Linked DNA regions of Xenopus tropicalis. The protein of the gene in region 4 purifies or fractionates together with the protein of the main gene of each other region. This does not show direct contact. Links are inferred from orthologs where the notes say so. Each region holds a gene or a part of one and is shown on either strand. Other genes may lie near its edges. The genes, in order: bcl7b, dpf2, bcl7c, smarcc2 and ss18.

Evidence for each region.
Region 1: the proteins of smarcc2 (region 4) and bcl7b purify together in Homo sapiens (affinity purification with mass spectrometry; 3 studies listed by BioGRID and IntAct, counting the BioPlex papers as one, with this or other methods). This does not show direct contact. The link is inferred for Xenopus tropicalis from reciprocal best matches to the Homo sapiens genes SMARCC2 and BCL7B.
Region 2: the proteins of smarcc2 (region 4) and dpf2 purify together in Homo sapiens (affinity purification with mass spectrometry; 8 studies listed by BioGRID and IntAct, counting the BioPlex papers as one, with this or other methods). This does not show direct contact. The link is inferred for Xenopus tropicalis from reciprocal best matches to the Homo sapiens genes SMARCC2 and DPF2.
Region 3: the proteins of smarcc2 (region 4) and bcl7c purify together in Homo sapiens (affinity purification with mass spectrometry; 4 studies listed by BioGRID and IntAct, counting the BioPlex papers as one, with this or other methods). This does not show direct contact. The link is inferred for Xenopus tropicalis from reciprocal best matches to the Homo sapiens genes SMARCC2 and BCL7C.
Region 5: the proteins of smarcc2 (region 4) and ss18 purify together in Homo sapiens (affinity purification with mass spectrometry; 3 studies listed by BioGRID and IntAct, counting the BioPlex papers as one, with this or other methods). This does not show direct contact. The link is inferred for Xenopus tropicalis from reciprocal best matches to the Homo sapiens genes SMARCC2 and SS18.

Annotation. Positions count from the first base shown.
Region 1 is NC_030678.2:30,751,456-30,755,729, forward strand, and holds the end of bcl7b (B-cell CLL/lymphoma 7 protein family member B), read right to left. Parts: intron 3,577-4,274; coding exon 3,424-3,576; intron 2,777-3,423; coding exon 2,697-2,776; intron 1,474-2,696; coding exon 1,384-1,473; 3' UTR 71-1,383; downstream 1-70. UniProt on the Homo sapiens protein: Positive regulator of apoptosis. Plays a role in the Wnt signaling pathway, negatively regulating the expression of Wnt signaling components CTNNB1 and HMGA1.
Region 2 is NC_030680.2:32,327,612-32,331,885, forward strand, and holds part of dpf2 (zinc finger protein ubi-d4), read right to left. Parts: intron 3,991-4,274; coding exon of another isoform or gene 3,949-3,990; intron 1,833-3,948; coding exon 1,686-1,832; intron 1,320-1,685; coding exon 1,191-1,319; intron 184-1,190; coding exon 71-183; intron 1-70. UniProt on the Homo sapiens protein: Plays an active role in transcriptional regulation by binding modified histones H3 and H4. Is a negative regulator of myeloid differentiation of hematopoietic progenitor cells. Might also have a role in the development and maturation of lymphoid cells.
Region 3 is NC_030685.2:5,708,893-5,713,633, reverse strand, and holds the start of bcl7c (B-cell CLL/lymphoma 7 protein family member C), read left to right. Parts: upstream 1-1,581; 5' UTR 1,582-1,806; intron 1,807-2,121; 5' UTR 2,122-2,273; coding exon 2,274-2,365; intron 2,366-3,272; coding exon 3,273-3,351; intron 3,352-4,741. UniProt on the Homo sapiens protein: May play an anti-apoptotic role.
Region 4 is NC_030678.2:137,498,990-137,503,263, reverse strand, and holds part of smarcc2 (SWI/SNF complex subunit SMARCC2), read right to left. Parts: coding exon 4,224-4,274; intron 4,092-4,223; coding exon 3,930-4,091; intron 1,705-3,929; coding exon 1,672-1,704; intron 88-1,671; coding exon 23-87; intron 1-22. UniProt on the Homo sapiens protein: Involved in transcriptional activation and repression of select genes by chromatin remodeling (alteration of DNA-nucleosome topology).
Region 5 is NC_030682.2:110,346,443-110,351,197, forward strand, and holds the start of ss18 (protein SSXT), read right to left. Parts: upstream 3,409-4,755; coding exon 3,340-3,408; intron 341-3,339; coding exon 264-340; intron 1-263. UniProt on the Homo sapiens protein: Appears to function synergistically with RBM14 as a transcriptional coactivator. Isoform 1 and isoform 2 function in nuclear receptor coactivation. Isoform 1 and isoform 2 function in general transcriptional coactivation.

The DNA.
Region 1 (4,274 bases), about 110 Mb from region 4:
AGCTTCATTTTTAAAAAATATTCTTTGTGTGGTAAAATACATCCAAACTAAAAAGCTTCCTCTGCAGTTGTTTTGATTCAAAAGATATTTTTTTACGATCAAAGAAGTCTAAGCATAGTATAGGCAGAGAAAAGTAATCTTAAGTTAAGCAATGGAGTAAGGTAGGTTTCTGGGTATTTTCAGCAAATGTGTTCAAAATGTGCTATTGGGCAGAGGCTACCTCCTAGCCAAATGATGATCAGGACATTTGAAAGTCCCAGGTTCAAATGGTGACAAGACCCTCAGACAGTCCCAGGTTTGGTCTGTAAGGAGACTCTCAAACAGTCCCTGTTTGGACAGTGATAAGATAGTCAGACAGTCCCAGTGATTGATGTCTATGAGGCCTTTGGGCAGTAAGGAGATCAGACCTTTCTGGGCTTTCGCAGTGATTAGACCATCCGACAGTCCCAGGTTCACCAGTGATGAAACCATTAGCTTGTCTTGGGATTGGGTGGTCATGAGCTAAAGTGCCAGGTTTTGGTAAGGAAGAGTCCTCGAGAAAGTCCTCTGTTAGGTGGTGGCCGCCTTCTACGAAATGATGAGCAGGCCCTTGGATAGTCTCAGCCAGGTTCAGATGGTGACAAGACTTTCAAATAGTCCCAAATTTGGTTTGTAATTTGGCTCTCAGACAATCCCAATTCAGACAGTGATGAGACAATCAGACAGTCTGAATCATTGATGTCTATGTGACCATCATACTTTTCTAGGTTTGAGCAGTGATGAGACCACAAGTCTGGGCATTAAGGAGACTATGAAACAATCTTAGGTTTGGGATGTGATGTGACCATCTGCCAATCCTGGGAGAGTCACTTAGAAGGTTCTTTTCTGTAGCAGTAATTTGTCCACAATAGGTCTCAGATATGGGGCCAGGTGAAAGGGTAACACGACAAATGGGACTAAAACGATTGGTAAAACTTTGATAAAAATAATAGATAATACGAATTCTATCTATACTTCAGGTTGTGGGATAACATCACCTGGAGAGCTTGGCATAATAGAGTTTGTGGCAGACTCTACAGAAACAAAGCAACAAGCTTCATGTCTCTAATGTGCTACGACAGTCTAGGAAATGTCTGTTATGCTGAAGATCTAGATTGGCAGAAGGAAGCATGTTTCTTGGCACAATCATTCGCAGACCTGCCATGATATTACAGAAGAGTGCTAAGGTTCTGGCAAAAGAATATACGCAAAGGCTTGTGCACTTATGAGGTTGTGTGATCACCCCTCATGTGAAAAGGTGCATTTTCACATAATTGCACAATTTCCAGCCTCAAGTGCAATCTTTCTCATCTAGAGATCTCCGAAGGCTGTAGCAGGAAGAGTAGGTGTGATGTGTAACTGGAACTAGCCTTCCAAAATGGCAGGAGCCTGAGAGGGCCCCTCTGTGCATACTCTCTTAAGAGGCGGTGCTCCAGATTCATCTAATCCCCCTGCCTGAAATTAAAGAAAATATATGTTAGTAGATTAAAAGTCAGTTGTGCTCATTTCCTAACATGGAGTAAACTGCAGTAACCCATAACAAAAACTACGCAGAATATAAAATACTAATTAACATGGTGCAGTTTAAAAGTAAACAGCTCTTAAATCCTTCACAAAAGATGTGGATAAACCACAAACCAAATCCATCCATAATAAAATCTGATCAGAATCACTAAAAATACATAAGCAGGGAGTAATTAAAAAACACCTACTTTCATCTAAGGATCTAAAATCACATGGGCAGAGGGGCACTTTAAATGCCATGCAAATTAACCGAAAACCAGGGGGCCATAGGCTTTGATGCAGCCTGCAATAGGCTTTAAAGCAGTGGGCATTAATTATTTTTCAAGCATGGGGGCCAGGGGGGGGGTCAACCGTTGCACTGCTGGCACACACCGTAATGGCCACAACCCCCCTGCCCCCCCATCCCCCATTAACACCTATGTTTTAAAGGACAAAGAAAGTGTAAATAGTACGTGTGTGGCATCTTGTATCTCAATGCTCAAGGTGCTGACTGCATTCTACTCTTCTGAAAAATACTTTTGCACCTGCAAGTCAAAGGCTGATGTAACTGTCAGTCCTAGTTTATGTACTATTTAAGAAAAAAAACAAAAAAAAACACCCAAAGCACCTGCCATTGCCTTAAGGCAGAGGTCCTCACACTACGGTCCGGGGCCACATCCGGCCCCCCAGGGTAATTTACCTGGCCCCCCTCTGCGTCCTCACCCCTGGAATCGGAGAGAGAGGAGTCAGTGGGGAGCGGGACGAATGGACGGAAGACTGTGGAAGCTGGAAGAGGTAGGACTAAGCGGGAGGGTGGACAGACTGTTGGACAGTCGGACAGAGCGTGCACAGGGGGGAGGGGCAGTTTGGTGGGTAGGTTGGTGGGTGGTGCTGGAAGAGAATGCAAGAGCGGGGGAGTGGGCCATAGTTTGACTACGGGGAGGGAGGTGGTGATGGCAGTCCGGTCGTCCAACTGTCTGAGGCCATGAACTGGCCCCTTGCCTGAGGGGCTAAGTTTGAGGACCCCTGCCTTAAGGGTATGATGATGGAGAGGTCAACCCTCTGAATTGGAAATGTTGGGTGCTTATTCAGAAGACTACCACTATACCTCAACTGGCATGACCTTGTATCCTTCCCACTGAATATGTTAGTCTCTTTTTATCTATTATTTGTACCTGTGCAGTGGATAGAGATGGCTCCTCCTTGGTGAGAGTTGGGGGTTCATCAGCCACTTCTTTGTGAGGCATGGAGGGTTCTGGAGAAATAAATGCAGACTGTACAATTACTGCACCTACTGAACATCTTCTAGAAGCCTAATTAGTAGTAAAACACTTTGGTAATGTATCTTTCCTGTGTATATGGGCATTAACAATGAACAAATAAGGCACCAATAAATAACCAAAAAGGTACCCTTGCGCACTGCAAACCTTAGTAAACATAAGCTAAAACCTGGAAAAATACCCATGCCATAAAATTGTATTTACCCATGTTATGTTAAAGAACACACAGCAGACTAGGATGGGATTTATTTAGGTAAGAAATAAAATATACCATAAACTACTTCAAGTGCAGATATGGGACCTGTTATCCAGAATGCTGGGGACCTGTGCTTTTCTGGATAAGACACCTTTTTGTAATTTGGATCTCCATTCCTAAAGTCTATTAAAAATTTAAAATTAACCCAATAGGATCATTTTGCCTCCAACAGGGATTAATTATATCTTACTGGGGATCAAGTACAAGCTACTGTTTTATTATTACTTAGATGGCATTCCTGTAATTCTGAACAGGTTGATGGTATACCTGCACAACTTTTGTACATGAACAAAACATAAATAATTGGCATGTATAGTCCATAGTACTGATTATGTTAGACTAGTCCTTTAAACTCCTCCTACTGACCTTCTAGACTCTCTTGACCCAATGTAGGGGGCTGAGAGTCTAAGGTATGAACAGGACTTGGGGAGACACTACGTGGAGGGCTGGGGCTGGAAGTGCTGCTTTCCACCTTTGGCTGGTAGACATCAGATAATGAACTTTGGTTACTGGTCTCATCTAAGGGAAGAAAAAGTGGAAAGCAAAAAATAACCGGTGAACAAAAAAGCAATTGTGTCATACTGCACTAGATCAGACAATAATACATAAACTCCTGCAACATAAATGGCCCTGAAAGGGTTATAAATGTAATGAGTATAAAGAATCATGCACTTGGTTAAGTCACTAGCATGAGAAACGATTCGCTTCTGGTTTTCTTATGGAAAGATTAACTACATAAACCCTGTTCAATGTTACATAGTTACATAGTTACATACATAGGGTTGAAAAAAGACCAGAGTCCATCAAGTTCAACCCATCCAAGTAAACCCAGCACACACAACCCACACCTACCAATCTATACACTCACATACATAAACTATATATACAACCACTAATACTAACTGTAGATATTAGTATCACAATAGCCTTGGATATTCTGATTGTTCAAGAACTCATCCAGGCCTCTGTTAAAGGCATTAACAGAATCTGCCATTACCACATCTCTAGGAAGGGCATTCCACAACCTCACTGCCCTCACCGTGAAAAACCACCTACGCTGCTTCAAATGCTAGGAATAAAAAAACCGCCTGCCTAAAGGCCATGGATTGCCTGGCGATTAGTCGCCTGTGCTACCATGGGCAAATAATCTTCCCTCCTGCAGGTTGCTGCAGGCTGCAGTTATCCCCCAACAAGTTATATATCAACATCCATAAGAT
Region 2 (4,274 bases), on a different chromosome or scaffold from region 4:
AAATGAAAGATATAAACAGGAGCTTAATACAGGGAAGTTCATAAACAATTAGCAGCAAGTAATTACTCACGTCATTCTCAGAGGTTCCGCAGATATTACAACATTTGCACTCTATGCACTGCCAGCGATAAGTCTTAACTGCCGCCATCATTACGGGTGTGAACTGCAAACAGGAAGGGTGCCCTGTGTCCACAACATAGTATGTAAGTGAATATTTTGCATACATATGTATCCAATATCTGCGTTCATCCAAAAACTAAAAAATACCATATTTCTGCTGACCTCTGCAACATGTGCATAGCAACCGGCTGTAAATCTCAGCAAGCTAATCTGATATTTCTGACCTGAGGATCAATAACTCAAATCATAGGGGAACTTTAGAAGGCAAGCTGCCAAATGTTGAAGGGAGTTAATTTGCTGTACAATGTTGCTGTATACATTTGTTCTATGGATGTACAAAAAAAAAAAAAAAAAAAAAAAAAGCAAAACAAATGATGGTGCCCCAATCCTGTCCCCCCGCACAGCGCTTAATCTTTAGTGTCGGAGAAGGTAAAGGTGGTGCCACATCACTAGTGCAGAAAAGTGCTATTGCACTCTCTGCACTAGAAGAAAAATAAAAAATTGTAAATTTGGCTTTTTGCTACCACTGTTAACTGGCCGGCAAAGTGGTTTAAAAGTTCATCCCCAACATTCATTTTGAGGTCCACAACCCACTTAGCTTATAGCAAGGTTTCAAATGAACCCGTTTTTCAGTTTTAAGAATATCTAGGGCTGCAAGTAAGTCTTCACTCCTCACTTAACCCTTCAATGGGGATTTCAGGAGTATCTAAAGTGCAAAAAAAAGCTCTCACCCTAATTGGCTTGCTACTCAGAAATTGCCCAACTTCCCCGATCCCCCATGCCCCTCTAAGTGGATGAGGCCCGCAGTTAGCCAAGAACTGCTCTAAATTATTAGCAGAATGCACATTTATATAGCTTCTAAACATATATATGCATCACAATATCCCATTTTAGAATATTTAAATTGAGAATTCCTGAAAAACATTATAGTTCGGAATTCCTATGAGTGTTAGGACAGCCCATTTGGGCCTTCAACTTTTAAATGCAAAAGCTTTCCAGTTAAAAATAAAATCAGATGCATCATGTAGTATTAAGTCTTCATCAAATACTAGAGTCTTCTTTTAACATACCAGAGCGGCCGCAGTCTGAGCAGGACACAAGCTCCTCAGCCTGGTTTGTTTTCTTGTTAATCTTAGAGTCTCCAAGGCAGAAGTCACAATAATTGTTTGGCAGTGCAAGACCATCTGGGCCCTTTTTGGCTGGGAAAAGATAAAAGCATCAAATATGTTGAAAAAGGAGAACAAGAAGGAACAAACTTAAAAAAACTATTTTGAATAACCTAAGTAATGCAATCCTAAGCAATTTTTGATATATACTTTTAATGATATGAAATGTATTTGTAATTGCTATTGAATTATTTGTAATTAATGAATTTGTAATCGCTTTTGAAAGCAACACCTAAAACAATGGTGCCCTAATCTACGCTACCATGGGCGACTAATCTCCCCAAAATGCTTTCCCACTAACAGTAAAGTGAATTGCCGGTTGGAAAGCATACATGGTGCTTCGTTTTCTGAAGTTGCCCAAACATTTCCTCTGCATTCTGTGTAGATGCCTAAACTTACATTTTTGTTCCTCTGGTCTCTGCATGATAGGAGTGGGAGGCTGAGAATCCTCCTTATCTTCTGCCCCGGCACCTTCTTCATCCACAAGGTGTGAGTGGGCATAATGATAGCTCAAACCAGGCCTGTTTTTATAGCGTTTTCCACAGACTGGGGGGAAAAAGCAGGACAGCAGAAAATGAAGAGTAGAAAGAAGTAATAAAGCATTAGTGCAATGATAAACATTAAAAAGAGTCAGGTGAAAAATCACTACCCCACCAAAACAGGAGGATGTATAACAAAGCAAAGCCACAAGGGAAACTGGGTGGCAGGAAAGGATAGTTTGCAGGTGTTTTACATTGGGGACAGATGTTACTGTTACAGTAAAAAAAGGTCATGTTTTCACAAAGAACTTAGAATGTATTTAGTAATTCAGCAATAATTTTGCAATATCAACCACTTTTTTGTGCCATAAGCTAAAAGACACCTACATAACTCAATATGCTTTATAAGGTGAAAGTAGAAAACATCATGTACCACACAGGAGTACCAACACAATACTGCCAGATGTAAAAAAAAAAATAAAGTTATTCTTTTATTGGAGGTACAGGTCCAACAGGCAGATCAAAGATCAAAAATGATTTTCAGTTTTTGAGATGATATTTTAAAGATGCCAGCTAGGATGGCACTGGAATGTCTGTGTGGTTGGTATTCAAAATCTAAAAGTGCACCTCCAAGTAAACCTCCCTGGACTTCAGTCTTCATGCTACAGCTTTTGGTTTAGGTATTTTAAATTCCTGTGGCTGAATATTTAGAAGCAGTTTGCCTCCAGGCCAGACTTTTACCAGCATAACTATAAAAACCTTAAACTTCTGCTTTGGGGTAGCCTGCTTTTAAAGTGAGAAAAAAAGCAAACAATGTTATTGAATTACGAAGCAGATAAATACCTCTGCACTTCTGATCTGGCAACAGAAACATGTGTTACACAAGGAGTAAGGAAGAGCACACAGACAGACAGAGACTAATCAGTCAGGCATGTTACATTGCCCCAGAACTTTGAGCCTGCTTGTTGCACAACATCCTGACCTGGGCACATACCTTACCAATTTAAGGTAAAAGGTTGTCCCAGATCCGGAGTAAGACCCCGATTTACATATATGGATGAAACAGTACCCTGAAATATATGTTTGTGTGACCCTATGGGTCCATTTCTTGATAGGTTTGTTTCTGCTACCTATTTTAATGATGCCTTAAGTCCCTTTAGAACAGAAATTATACGGAATTCTTAAGGTGGCCATATACTAATATTTGCTGGTAATGACCACTGAGCCTGTGGGCCAAAGGACGGATATTGTATTGTATCCATAAAAAGTGCATCCACCTTTCTACCATCTCAAATGACAGAAATCAAAAACAGTAGGAGCCGTGGCCAGTTGGGGGTGGGTGGGGGTCCTGAGATTAAATCCAGCAAAACCCATATATCTCTAGTTATGCCACTGGCTATGGCTTTACCTTCCCTTTGACAAACCAACCTATAAAAACTGATAAAGGATATCAGCCAGAAGTATTTGACAAACATATTTGAACTGAAGATAGGATGAAAAGCTTATCAGTATGTTTATGGCCAGCTTTAGAGGAGCATCTTCATGGAACATAACCTCCATTCCCAACACCCTTAAAGGAGAACTAAACCCTAAAGATGAATATGGCTATTTTATACTTTTTTTTTTTTTTTACTAAACTGACTGTACTAGCTTCAAGTTTTAGTATCTCTACAGTAGTATATAGTAGTATAGTAGTATATAGGTCTTTACAGTTGCCACAGGAGCTTCCCATCTTGGATTCTGTTAGAACTGTCCTGGACAGTGCACACGATCAGTGTTTTCTTGGCAGCTACTGAAAAGCTAAGCTTAGGGGTTGTCGCAAATGATCAAACTGAAAATGAGGCTGGCCTGTCAAACTGATGCTACAGGTCTAATTATAAAATTCTGATGCAAACTGCACTGGTCCCAGAGCTGCCATATAATGAGAATCTGAATTACTAATCAGCATTATACGGTTACATTTATATTCTATATTATTCTAAATTATCTGCCTGATGAGAAGCCAATGTGCCAAGAGAGAGAAAAAAAACAATACAGCTGTGTGATGGCAGATGAGCACAGGCTTACAGAACCCACTGTGGGAAATGGCATGGGTAAAAGGAAACATGCTAAGCTGCAGTGCAAGGGGGTGGGGCAGTGAGCAAGATGCTAATTTAGCAGTATAAGCGAGCACGTAGAACTACCTCTTTCGGAGAATTTCGAAGTTTGCTTTAGTTTGTAACTGTCTGAAATAAGGAAAGACACACAGAGAAAGAGAAAAGAGAGGGGTAAGTAGACTACCCAGACAAGAGCAGAGAGAGCAAGTAAAGCAAAAGGTGTGTGGCTACAGTGGGATGACCCAACACATTTATTCAGCTTCTTAAGACATTACACTAATGTAAACAGTTTAAGGATGACCAACCTGTAAAATGGCAGAGACCTGTCAGACGAGGACTGCATTAACAGAGCAAGATGGTACTTCCCTGACAGGTCTCCATAGGGTGCAGTATGATCCAATCCTTGCATACCA
Region 3 (4,741 bases), on a different chromosome or scaffold from region 4:
TTCTCTCTCTACTCCCTTTGGGGTCTCTCCCTCTGGGGTCTCTCCCTATGGGGGTCTCTCTCTCCCTCTGGGGCCTCTCCCTCTGGGGTCTCTCCCTCTGGGGGTCTCTCTCTCCCTCTAGGGTCTCTCTCTCCCCCTGGGGTCTCTCCCTCTGGAGGTTTCTCTCTCTACTCCCTTTGGGGTCTCTCCGTCTGGGGCCTCTCCCTCTGGGGTCTCTCCCTATGGGGGTCTCTCTCTCCCTCTGGGGTCTCTCCCTCTGGGGTCTCTCCCTCTGGGGTCTCTCCCTCTGGGGGTCTCTCTCTCCCTCTGGGGTCTCTCCCTCTGGGGTCTCTCTCTCCCTCTGGGGTCTCTCCCTCTGGAGGTTTCTCTCTCTACTCCCTTTGGGGTCTCTCCCTCTGGGGTCTCTCCCTATGGGGGTCTCTCTCTCCCTCTGGGGTCTCTCCCTCTGGGGTCTCTCTCTCTACTTCCTCTGGGGTCTCTCTCTCCCTCTGGGGGTCTCTCTCTCTAATCCCTCTGGGGTCTCTCCCTCTGGGTCTCTCTCTCCCTCTGGGGGTCTCTCTCTCTACTCCCTCTGGGGGTCTCTCTGTAGCCCCCGCTAGCAATGCTTGCACTGTATATTCCGGGGCTGCTAATGTGGTACTGACCCGTTTGGGTGCATTTGGGCCCCAGTACAGTTATTAACCCTACATTACCTGTTGTATTTGGCTTCCCCAAATAATGCCCAGACTATGGCCCAAACCTGACAGCCCCCCAAGAACCACCCGTACCTGTTACTGGCCCAGCCCAGATACCTGGGAGTCTCCATTACAAAAGGGAAATTTGCACCACACAGAAGGAGCATTATGGGAAAACTGACCCTTGTTTCCAGTAAAGGCCCCCCCAGGATCATTATAATGCACAGTAAATATGGCCGCCCCCTTCCTGCCTTGTCATTTGCTAATGGGCATCTGGGCCCCCCAGGCTTCCTGTGTCTGGGTCTATTTCCATCCCTATTATAACCCCCCAGCCTCGTTATATCTCTGTGCTAACGAGCTACAACTAATATTGTATTTCTACCTCTGTACTTACTGTCCCTGTATAACAGCACCCGGCCCTCCCCGGGGGGAATGGTAATGGCCACATACAGACACAATAAACATTAACTGTAAGTGAACTTTCCCTTTAAACTGTGCAAGGCAAACGCATGGCCTGGGATTCTAATGATAAGGCCCTTCTGGGCACCTGTACAGCTCTTGCTAAACGGAATTTCTGTAAAGGGTTATGGGAGTTGTAGTTCAGCAACTCCCGGAGGCCCCCTGTGCCCTGAGCAGGGAATATGTTTTGCTCCCTGTAAGGAATAAGGGGCACAAACCCAGTGGGGCCCAGAGGGAATGAGCCATGTGGGTGCTGGGACAGGGGTGGGTGGGAGTGTTTACAACTGGATCACAATGGAGGGGGGAGAGTTTCCTGGAAGGGGGTGTGAGTTACAGAAGTTTCCCTGGGACACCAGGGGGCAGCAGAGAGCTCCCAGGGACATGGGCTGTGTGACAGTTGGATATCCGGAGACAGGAACACTCAGAAAAGTGACAGGCACAAAAGTGAAAGGGATTCAGCAAGGGGGAGAGACTGCACAGCAAGGGGGAGAGACTGTACAGCAAGGGGGAGAGACTGCAGAGCAAGGGGGAGAGACTGCAGAGCAAGGGGGAGAGACTGCAGAGCAAGGGAGAGAGACTGCACAGCAAGGGGGAGAGACTGCAGAGCAAGGGAGAGAGACTGCACGGCAAGGGGGAGAGACTGCACGGCAAGGGGGAGAGACTGCACGGCAAGGGGGAGAGACCGCACGGCAAGGGGGAGAGACCGCACGGCAAGGGGGAGAGACTGCACAGCAAGGGGGAGAGACTGCACAGCAAGGAGGAGAGACTGCACAGCAAGGGGGAGAGACTGCAGAGCAAGGGGGAGACACTGCACAGCAAGGGGGAGAGACTGCAGAGCAAGGAGAAGAGACTGCAGAGCAAGGGGGAGAGACTGCACAGGAAGGGGGAGAGACTGCACAGCAAGGGGGAGAGACCGCGCAGCAAGGGGGAGAGACCTCACAGCAAGGGGGAGAGACTGCATAGCAAGGGGTAGAGACCTCACAGCAAGGGGGAGAGACTGCACGGCAAGAGGGAGAGAGCAAACGAAGGAGGAGACCCCCAGAAAGAAAGAAGACAAGGAAGAAATGAAAAAAAGCTGAAGATATTACAGGCCAGAGAGAGAGAGAGAGAGAGAGAGAGAGAGACTGCTGGGCCCCAGACATGGCCAACAGGACAGGCCGGGCAGAGACCAGGAGCCGGGCGAGAGATGACATCAAGAGAGTCATGGCAGTCATAGAGCACGTGAGGCGCTGGTATGGCAGCTAGTGGTTCTGCCCCAGGTGTGGGGTGGGTGGGAGGCAGAAGAGTGGGCTACTAACCCCTGGGCAGCCACAGCCCCTTTTTCTTTGTGATCCAGTTGCCCAGTGGGTCATGTGCTGTGGGGATTGGTCAGTGGGGAGAGGGGGGGCTGATACACGGGGTTAGTGGGCAAAAAGGGGTTCATGCACTTGTACAGCAGTGAGATTTGTGCCTACAGTCTGTGTGTGCTAGATTGGCCGGTAGGCATCACAGGGTAGGTACAAAGGCATGTACTAGATCAGGGTGGAGCAAGCTGGTTGGTGGGTAGGCATCACAGGGTAGGTACAAAGGCATGTACTAGATCAGGGTGGAGCAAGCTGGTTGGTGGGTAGGCATCACAGGGTAGGTACAAAGACATGTACTAGATCAGGGTGGAGCAAGCTGGTTGGTGGGTAGGCATCACAGGTTAGGTACAAAGACATGTACTAGATCAGGGTGGAGCAAGCTGGTTGGTGGGTAGGCATCACAGGGTAGGTACAAAGGCATGTACTAGATCAGGGTGGAGCAAGCTGGTTGGTGGGTAGGCATCACAGGGTAGGTACAAAGGCATGTACTAGATCAGGGTGGAGCAAGCTGGTTGGTGGGTAGGCATCACAGGGTAGGTACAAAGACATGTACTAGATCAGGGTGGAGCAAGCTGGTTGGTGGGTAGGCATCACAGGGTAGGTACAAAGGCATGTACTAGATCAGGGTGGAGCAAGCTGGTTGGCGGGTAGGCATCACAGGGTAGGTACAGAGAGGGGCCTTGGGAGGGCGGAGCCACCCGGCGGTGGGGAACATCACTGTATGGGCATGACGGTGCTGTGGGGCAGGGGGAGCCAGTGACCAGTAAGCTCAGTAATGTCAGTGCCTGTCCCACAGGGAGAAGCGTTGGGTGACAGTGGGAGACACCTCGCTCCGGATATATAAGTGGGTGCCAATTGTGGATCCCAGGGACGAGGTGAGTCTTTGTCTTGCTTTGTGCATTGAGCGAGGGATTCGCTTCCGCTCTTCTCATCGGCATTGGGTTCTACTCATCATCTGTGCCGCTCTACCGGCCAAGCTGGGCATCTTCCTTTCCAACCTGCAGAGCATCTCACTCCCCTCTAACAGAACATCTGACTGACTGTTTCTAATCTGCAGAGCATCTCCCTCTCCACTTCTAACCTGCCAAGCTAATTTCTCTTTTCCAACCTCCAAAACACCTCCACTATACACCACCAGAACTTCTCAATCCCTTCACCTCCCACATCTCAGTCCTTGCTACGCACCTCCAGAACACCTTAGTTATCCTTTCTATACTCCTCCAAACAACCCAGTCCTTTCTATTTACCTCTAAAACTTCCCAGTCCCTTCTATACACCTCTAGAATATCTCAGTCCCTTCTACACACCTAAAGAACATATCAGCCAGTGCTATAAACCCCCAGGACTTCCCGGTTCCTTCTATACACCTCTAGAATATCTATAAACCTTAAGAACATATCAGCCTCTGGTATAAACTCCCAAGACTTCTCAGTTCCTTCTATGCACCTCCAGAACACCTCAATCCATTCTATATACCTCTAGAACATATATGTCTCTTCTCTATACCTCCAGAACATCTTGGCCCCTTCTATATGCCTTAAGAACATATAAGTCCCTGCTATAAAGCGCCATAACTTTTCAGTTCATTCTTTTTACCCCACAACATCTTAGTCCCTTTTATAAACCCCCAGAACATCTTAATTCCTTCTATACACCTCCAGAACATCTCAGTCCCTACTATACTCCCCCAGAACATCTCAATTCCTTCTATACTCCCCTAGAACATCTCAATTCTTTCTATACACCTCCAGAACGTCTCAGTCCCTACTATACTCCCCTAGAACATCTCAATTCCTTCTATACACCTCCAGAACATCTCAGTCCCTGCTATACTCCCCCACAACATCTCAATTCCTTCTATACACCCCCAGAACATCTCAGTCCCTACTATACAACCCCAGAACATCATAATTCCTTCTATACACCTCCAGAACATCTCAGTCCCTACTATACACCCCCAGAACATCTCAATTGCTTCTATACACCTCCAGAACATCCCAGTCCCTACTATACTCCCCCAGAACATCTCAGTCCCTACTATACTCCCCCAGAACATCTCAGTCCCTACTATACACCCCCAGAACATCTCAATTCCTTCTATACACCTCCAGAACATCTCAGTCCCTACTATACTCCCCCAGAACATCTCAGTCCCTACTATACTGCCCCAGAACATCTCAATTCCTTCTATACACCTCCAGAACATCTCAGTCCCTACTATACTCCCCCAGAACATCTCAGTCCCTACTATACACCCCCAGAACA
Region 4 (4,274 bases):
TGGGCCACAGTTCAGTTTATACCTTTGGCTCTTTCTTGTCTTCTGTAGGCTGCGCATCTGTCTGGGGCTCATCTGAACTGCTCTCTTCTGGAAGCATTAATGAAAACATTAACACTAAAACCCCAAAGGGTAAAAGAATGTAACATTGTACTATAAGTTGCTTATCTAATGCCACACTTGGAATACATTAAGATAGGATGACATTTTTTTTGTGAAAAATGTAATCCTGGAAGGCATAAGGAGGCAGAGAATGTCTTGCAATGTCAGTTTTTTGCATATAATTCACTAATCTCACAATTAGGATTAGCAATGCCCAATTTTGAACTCTATTACCTCGCAGCACAGGCAACACATGCCTCGAACTGGAAAACATTTGACACTGAAAACCCAGCTTCTCTATTAGAAGCACTGTATTTTGGCTCCATTGAATCCCTACATCACGCTCTATACAGGCCTAGCAAATGTCTTCCCCCCCTAATTCCCCTTTTAAATTCTATAAAAAAAAGCCTGGGACATGATGTATAAAATCTCCAACACAAAAAACTCAATTTCACCTGACATACTTTTGTGGCACAACACCCTCTTTAACAACTTTACAACCTTTGAAAATGGAGTGACATGGGCAAGATCAGGGGTCAAACAACTCCATCACTTACTACACGCAGGGTCCCTAAAAACCCGCAAACAACTCCAACAACTACCTGCCCTGACGGACCTGTCGGTGTTCAGTTACATGCAAATGTAACATCTCTTCCACATACAGTTCCAAAGCAATACTCATCCCATACAATACACGGCAGTAGAAAATGTAATCTCTGCCCCGGATAAACTGAAAACTCTCTCCAAAGCATATGCAGCAATCACTGCTTACAAATATGACACCAGACCCAGAGTCAAACTCAAGTGGGAAACAAGTGGCCTCCACCTGGACCCGGATAACTGGGAAGAGGTGGTAGACAATATCTATTCCCCATTAATAAGCACAAGAGACAAATTAATTCAATTCAAAATTACACACCAAACCTACTTAACGCCTAAGAAACTACACCAGATGGGTTGCTTGGAACACTCCTGATGCCTTCGCTGCAATGAACCTGATGCTGATTTTATTCACCTACTTTGGAACTGCCCATACATCCAGAGATTCTGGCAACAAGTCAAGTGCTTCGTAGCAGACAAACTTTCCTTACCTCAAGTTCTAAACCCAATCACATGCCTGTTGGGCCTGGTGGACTCCCTATTACCCAAGACAGCTTCCAGATCCCTTATGAGGGCTCTTTTGTTTTATGCAAAAAAAAAAAACTGTGGCTCTACATTGGATGGGTCCCCTACCTCCTACTTTAAATAAATGGATAAAGCTGATAAACTCTCAACTGGAACTCTACAGGTTAACTTACCTAGCCAGAGGATGCCCACAAAAGTTTGAGAAGATTTGGAACCCATGGCTGGAGTCTCCAGCAACTGCTGTCTAAAATACCATGATACACTCTCCATCTCCTCCCCTCCCCCTTTTTCTTCCTTCCCTCCTTCTATTCATACATAAATATAATTTGACAAAACTCTCTTCTATTCCAACTTTGCATTTTTATGATTGTAGAAATGTGTATGGTTGTAGAAATGGAATGTATCATGTTAAAGAAGTCTTGTGTGTAAGAGAGGAATATTTCCTACCATGGATTTCAGGGGTGCTCCTTTTGGGACAATCTGTGAAAGGCATCAATAAACACAGAAAGAAATAATTACTGACTTTCCAAATATGAAGGGCCTTGTACAGTTCATCTCTATATTAATCTCATAATTAAAACTTAAAAACATGGTTGCCCCTCTGCATAAGGTACTTATGATGTGTATACAAGGCATAACTGCTGCCACAAGCTGACAAAAAATGTTGTCCTCCATATTAACCCACAGGGCTCTCTGAAATGTACATTTCACACTCAGCACCTGACACCAAGGGAAATATAGGGCACCAATGGAAAAGTAACTGGTGATAATTGATAGCTGGCCAATCCAAAATGGATTAATATATATTATGCTATTTTATTTTTAACATACCCCTCTGGCCCAAGGTTTATTTAAATTAAAAGTGAACATGTCAGACAGGAGTCAAGGTAAATTTTGCCTGAAATGAATACAATTTGACACAAGCCAAAAGGTGTCGTATTCAACAGATATATTTTTGTGGCGATTAAGATTTACATGTTCAAATCTGCCATATATTTAATGACTTATTCTTAGATTGCATTACAGAGTGGACAAAAGGCAACTTTCAGTCATTTATTCTCCCTTGCCTGACTAACAACACCAAAGTAACCCAAAGGATCCATAGATAAATAGAACAGCTCAGCAACATTGTCTAACAACATTCAGTCACTTTATTAAAACAGTAAATATATGCAATAATCTAAAACATTTTTCTTTAAACAAAATATAATCACACATGTATGGCATGTGTTATTTGGAAATCCTTTACGCAGCAACTGTGGAAACCAATAATATAAAAGTTGCAACAAAAGTAAATAATTACACCTAGATATTTATAAAATTTCCTTTTGGATATTTATTATAGTCTTTTCTCAAAGTGGGGGCTCAAAGTTAAAGAGATTCATTTAAACGAAAGGGCCTATCAGGGTTTGAAAGAAAATCTTTGCATCCTACTTCCCTGGGCGCCCTGAGGCAAACTTTCCAACGGTGCCGTCCCCACTTGCCCCCAGCATCTACAGCTCAGAGCTTTTGGCAAGCAGAGACTGCTCTCTGCACTAGAAGAGATGAAATTCCAATTTAAAAATCAGAATTTTGACACTAAAAGGTTACCAGAAGCTCAACTTGCCTCATGGCAGCAGCACCCCTGCATTTACCTAACTACTACTATCCCTTTAATAACCCCTCTGCCATCCCCACCAACCTCCATGCTCCACTGCAGACCCCTGTTAATAGGCTGTCGTATTAATTACATTTGTCCTCAACCTATTAGAACTTCCACCTGCCTCAAAGCCAGATGTCAACTTCTAAGGCAGGGATCCCCAACTTTTTTTCCTGTGAGCCACATTTAAATGTAAAAAGAGTTGGGGAGCAACAAAAGCATGAAAAATGTTCCTGGGGTTACAAATAAGGTCTCTGATTGGCAATTTGGTAGCCCCTATGTGGACTGGCAGCCTACAGGAGGCTTTGTTTTGCATTACTCCTGGTTTATATATAACCAAAACTTGGATAAAAGCCAGAAATTCAAAAATAAGCATCTGCTTTGAGGCCACTGGGAGCAATATCCAAAATAAACCCAATGAGCAACAAGTTGCTCACGAGCCACTGGTTGGGGATCACTGGAAGAGGTGCTGCCTACATATCAGTACCAGGGGTCTGTGGGGAAGCAGTAAGCATCTCACTGAAGAGCTTATGTCATAGTGAAAAGTCCCTGATAAATGAGGAACATGTCACTATCATATTGATGCTAAAAAAAATGTGTACAACAAATAATTAAAACTAAATTCTCTTGTGAAAGATGCACCAAGAAAGATTAGGAAGAATTTCTCAATCCTCATAAATCCGCCCTGTGATATTTTAAATTTTGGGGGGAAAAGGCCCTTGCCCTGAACTAACCAAAGAAATTATGTCAGAGTCTCATTAGAGACATGGCTGTCAAAACTCCTGGAAGCAGGATACTTGAAAATCTTCCTGGATTGGGTACAATGTAGGGGTAAAGCCAGAGTGGACCTGGTACATCCCCTTAATTTGTTATTCAAGTGTCCAGCCTCCTGGAGGGTGGAGCTCAACCTCATGCATTCCCCGTGTCCCCCTGAGACAAAGACCGTAGTCCTGAAAAACATACCTAACATTCAGATCCCATATCTGTATCAATATATCTGGGAACCAGAAAAGCAGTCTGAGATTATATATATATATATATATATTGACTTAAGAGTCTAACTCACCTATCCTCTCGTTGTCTTCGCAAGCTGTTCCAGCAATACCACTGCTCTCAAGGCCATAACTAGGATCAGCTTTTCCAGTGATTCTGGCTGCATCCTCGACCTTTCTGACATGAGCTTCCACCAGTGCTGTGGGAACCTCCTCCTTCATCTTGGAAAATTCATCTAATAAATCAGAAACATTACAAAGTCTTTTAAAGGTTATTAATATTCCCAACATTTCTGGGGCACTAGGGGCCAAAATGCCCCTGAATACAGCAAAGACTGTACCAACAAATAAAAATAAAAGTAACAAACCCAAAGCTGATTTTGCTGCAGCTGATGCTACCCGAGGATCTACTACAGATG
Region 5 (4,755 bases), on a different chromosome or scaffold from region 4:
TAAATGACGTTTAAATGATTTTTTAGCAGACATAAGGCATTAAGATCGAAATTACGGAAAGATCCCTTATCTGGAATGCCCCGGGTCCCGAGCATTCTGGATAACAGGTCCTATACCTGTATATGAAAACATGATATTGTTATAAGTATTAGTAACCATATACAAAATTTCAAAAACAACCTACTGTCAAAGTACAGAGACCTCTATATAGGTATAAACAATTTAGTGCCACACTGTGAAAGAGAGAATTATATTATACATACTGGGAACATTCTGAGGTTTTTCCTTTGTTCTGATAATCCATTATGCATTGTATTAGATGGTTATTTTCATCCAGCATCTGAAAATTAAAAAAAAAAAAAAAATTTGAAAAATAACTGACTGATCAGTTAAAAAGCATTCTGTACTACAAAATTAATATACAAGATTAAGGTTAGTGTCAAAATGAGAATGTTAAATAGTGCTTTGGCATCATTTCAACACTTCCAACATCCAGATGCACTTTGTTCACCTTTTGGATGCCAATTAGTTCACCTTCCATTCATGTCACTAGTGGTGACTGGCAAATTCCCTTAGGGTGAAGACACATGGAGCTTCTAGTAGCAGCTACTTTTTCACAGATACTAATCGCCAGAAAATACACTGCCAAAAAAGGGTTAGCTTAGTATACACCCAATGTGCAATAGGCCAAAGAGTCATAATTTATCTACTTAAAAGGAGAAAGAAAGGTAAAAACTAAGTAAGCTTTATCAGAAAGGTCTATGTAAATACAGCCATAAGCACTCAAAGAAATGCTGCACTGACTTCTCTGTCAAAAGATTTCTTGTGTCTGTAATTCATATGCCAGAGACACACAGCTCTCTGCTGTCTCCTCTCTCCTGCTCCCCCCTCCTTCAAGTATGCTAAGAACTCACTCCTCCCTTAAGAATGTGGATCTGAGCCAATCAGCAGGAAGCTCACTCATACTCTTACTAACTGAGCATGTTCACTTGGTCTGGGTGTCTGTGCAGGAGTGAGGCATAATGGGAACTTTCTTTACACAGCTCAGTGTTTTTTCTTCCTGTTTGGCTTCTGATCATCTAACAGGTGAAATATGGGGAGACTTAAGGGCACTATTTAGAGAACTGAATGTATGCCTGCAGCTTGAGATTAACTCTTTATTAGCCTTTCCTTCTCCTTTAAAAATAATGTGCTTTAGAACCAATAAAGAAACCCTGTGCATAAGAACTATTGGCAGCCTTTGATTAGTGATACCAATGAAAGTGACACTGCCATGTTCTTGTGCAATGAAAGACTTAGGTTATGGTGGTCAAAAACACAAGAATGTAACCCACTTATGATTTCCTTAGTTAAAGCATGTTTCCCCTTATGTGTATGGGCAAGGGACAAAGCTAATCTCTTACATGCTGGAGTACTGACCTAACTGCATATCGTTGCTTAATTTTATAGCACCAACAATGCACACTATATTTTACAAAAATAAATGAAAAAGCAAGGTCTCTAGCCTCTCAGAACCTTGTATAGCCATGTCAAGCTCTCAGCAGGAACATACAGGACAACCATAGGAATCATGCGGCAGAAAGGTACATTGTGCTGCACTGAGGGGGGAGACAGCACTGTAGAATTTTTGAAGCTATCCAAAATATTCATAGCCATTTAGCTTTGATAATCTTGAAAAATATGTATATATATATATATATATATATATATATATATATATATATATTTACCCTGTACAGTTAGAAACACAAATGTAACTAAAAATTAACAGTATCATATGAAATGCCAAGCACAAGAATCAGAATATATTTATTTTACATATTTCTCTGTGACAACGACTTCATAGAATATCTACTACATGAAACAGTACTTACAGATATACCTGGAGAACTGTGAAGTGTAGTGGCCTTTAATGGCCTGGGCCTACAGCTAAAAGCCATCATGGCTGCTCACTCAGACACAAACACTGTATAAAGGGGTTCCTGTGCAATAGTGTTATTCCAATATGAGAGTGAAATTTTGTAGGAGTCAATGCAAACAAAGTACCAGTCACAAACAAAAACTCTGGTTCAAAACCAACAGCTATGAACAAGGGAGCCAAAAAACAAAAGTAACCTTTTGCCTACTTAAAATAGAATTTTAGCCAGATTATAAATATTGATAATTTTAAACTGATTTCTTAAAAATAATTACAACTGAATGCAATAACAGCCTGTCCTTTGCTGTTCTTCCCACTTTTACAGCAGCCATACATGGTTGAATCAACACAGTATCCCCCTGATACAAGGGGCCAAACACATTAGGGCAGCCTATTATTCTGTTCAGGACATAACTCCATTTTACTTTTCCTCCTCATCAGCACGTACATCCCGCACCTGCTGATATGCTTGTGTCTCAACCCTTTCTCCTTGTAGATTGTAAGCTCTTTTGGGCAGGGCCCTCTTCACCTCTTGTATCGGTTATTGATTGCTTTATATGTTACTCTGTATGTCCATGTATGTAACCCACTTATTGTACAGCGCTGCGGAATATGTTGGCGCTTTATAAATAAATGTTAATGTAATGTAATATGCTGTATTTGCAGATACATTTCCAAACCTGTCTGACACAAAATGACCAATATCCACAGTACATAAATATCTGTCGGGACCATAAGCCCCCAAATGTACTGAAAAGCATTTCACTACGTGCATGGCCATCTTTACTGCTGGCTCTGATTTCTCATACAATGTTGCAGAAGCTAGATTTCAATTTCAACAATGTCTTGCACTTTTTTTTTTTTCTAAGTCTGTTAATTAGCTGCATCTTCTAATTTGTTTCAGTAGTCGGAACAAACAGTACGGAGACATTGGAGATATTGTGTTCGATAGTATTTGCATCGAAGAATAATGCACTGAAAAACTGTAACAAACGTACATTGAAAAGTTGCTTAGAACAGATTTTAATGATCTTTAATGAACCTCTTTAGGGTGGCTGTTAATCCCCAGTGGCCCAGATACAGTACAGATAAAATGGCTCACCAATTTGGCTCTGCTGACACGTTTATGTGCCTTTTTTTGTCCTTACACCTACAGTGACCTTCCTTGGTAATATAACTGATGATAAAAGCTCCAGATACCTTGTCTATGGTTAAACCCAGGCACATACAATATGTTTGTGGCACTTTGCCATTTATTAATCGATAGCATTTAAGTAGAACAGTAAGGACTCCCCACCCCCGTACACTGCCCCCCAGCCTTAGAAAGCACTACACCAGTGCAGTTGGGGGAATTCCCTCCCGGCAGAAGGGCACGACTAAGCAGTTGCATTGAACGTATTTTTTAATATCGGCGCGGTTACCTTTTGAATGGCCGCAGGAGTGATCTCCCCCTTCCCCCGCTGCCTGGGAGCCGCGAAAGCTACAGACATGATACACGAGCTAAAGAAAACAAAGGGAGCGAAGTGTAGGCACGAAGCGTCTCTAAAGGGAAAGACTGGCGAAATCTGGAACGGACTTCCCACTGCCGCTCTCACACACCGCGAGATTCCAGCAAGCGACTCAACAACATCCTAGGGGGGGGGGGTGCGGAAACAAACAGGCAAGCATTTACTCCATACAGGCAACATATATCTAAGAGGCCCTTAAGGGAAGCTCAGACTTGTGTAACTTCTTAATAATAACAACAACAGAATAATCAACGAAGACATAAAATAAACGCTATAACTTCCCAGTCTACCAATACACCCCTGTAAATACAGAAAGGTCTCGCCCAAAAGTTTATACCATAATCCTTTGCGAAAAGAAAAGCAGGAAATGGACAGTTTCTTCCAAATCGTACGTTGTTAAAAACAATCGAGCGAGGATATCCATGTACCGTTACAGTTGAGGGGTTATGTTAAACGTCTATGTTACCCTTAGTAAATGGCTATCGCTATTTTAAGTACCAGCTAATATAACATTCCCCTCGTTTGAGATAATGGTACGACCCATCGGTCAATTCCATATTACCTATTGGCGGGTATGGCTTGCAAAGAAACTAAGGTGGGCTATAGTTTTCTTATTATAACTCGCAGAACTATAATGATACATGGCGTGTAAACTGAAGCGAAGCGACCCTCACTGAGATACAGGGGTTTTGCCCTTCTCAATGATGAAGAAGAATGAACTTCCCAGAAGTTAGGTATTGACACGTGATGAGCTATAAACACGTGTCTTGCAGTGTTTGGCCCCTTGGAATCAGCGATTGGCTGACTTTCTGCTATAAACAATACCGCGAAGTCGATTTTGAGGGCGGGAGTTGCATTTTCAAAGAAACCCTGAATTTGCTGCAAGTTAGTTACAGCAGCTTTACATACTCTCGTTCAATGTTTAACGTTTGTTTTATAATAAAGTATGTATTAAAGTCTCTTTTCCGTCTTTTTTTTTTTTGTTAATGCGAGGTAGAGAGAGAGAGAGTTGTAAAGATTCGGCACTCACCAGTATGGGGCACAGGCTGGGTGCTGACAGAAATAATGCATCAAACTCAACAGTAGAAAGTTTCAGCATACCATCTACGCGTTTCGATCACCACAGGATCGTCATCAGGATGAAACGCGTAGATGGTATGCTGAAATAAATCACTGACCTGATTGATGCTGTAGCTGTGAGTGCTTTCTACTGTTCAGTTATATATATATATATATATATATATATATATACTTTTTAACTTTTTTATACTTTATCATTTTCTGAATAACATAACACAAATTTTGTACAATGCACAAAGGTAAGAAGTC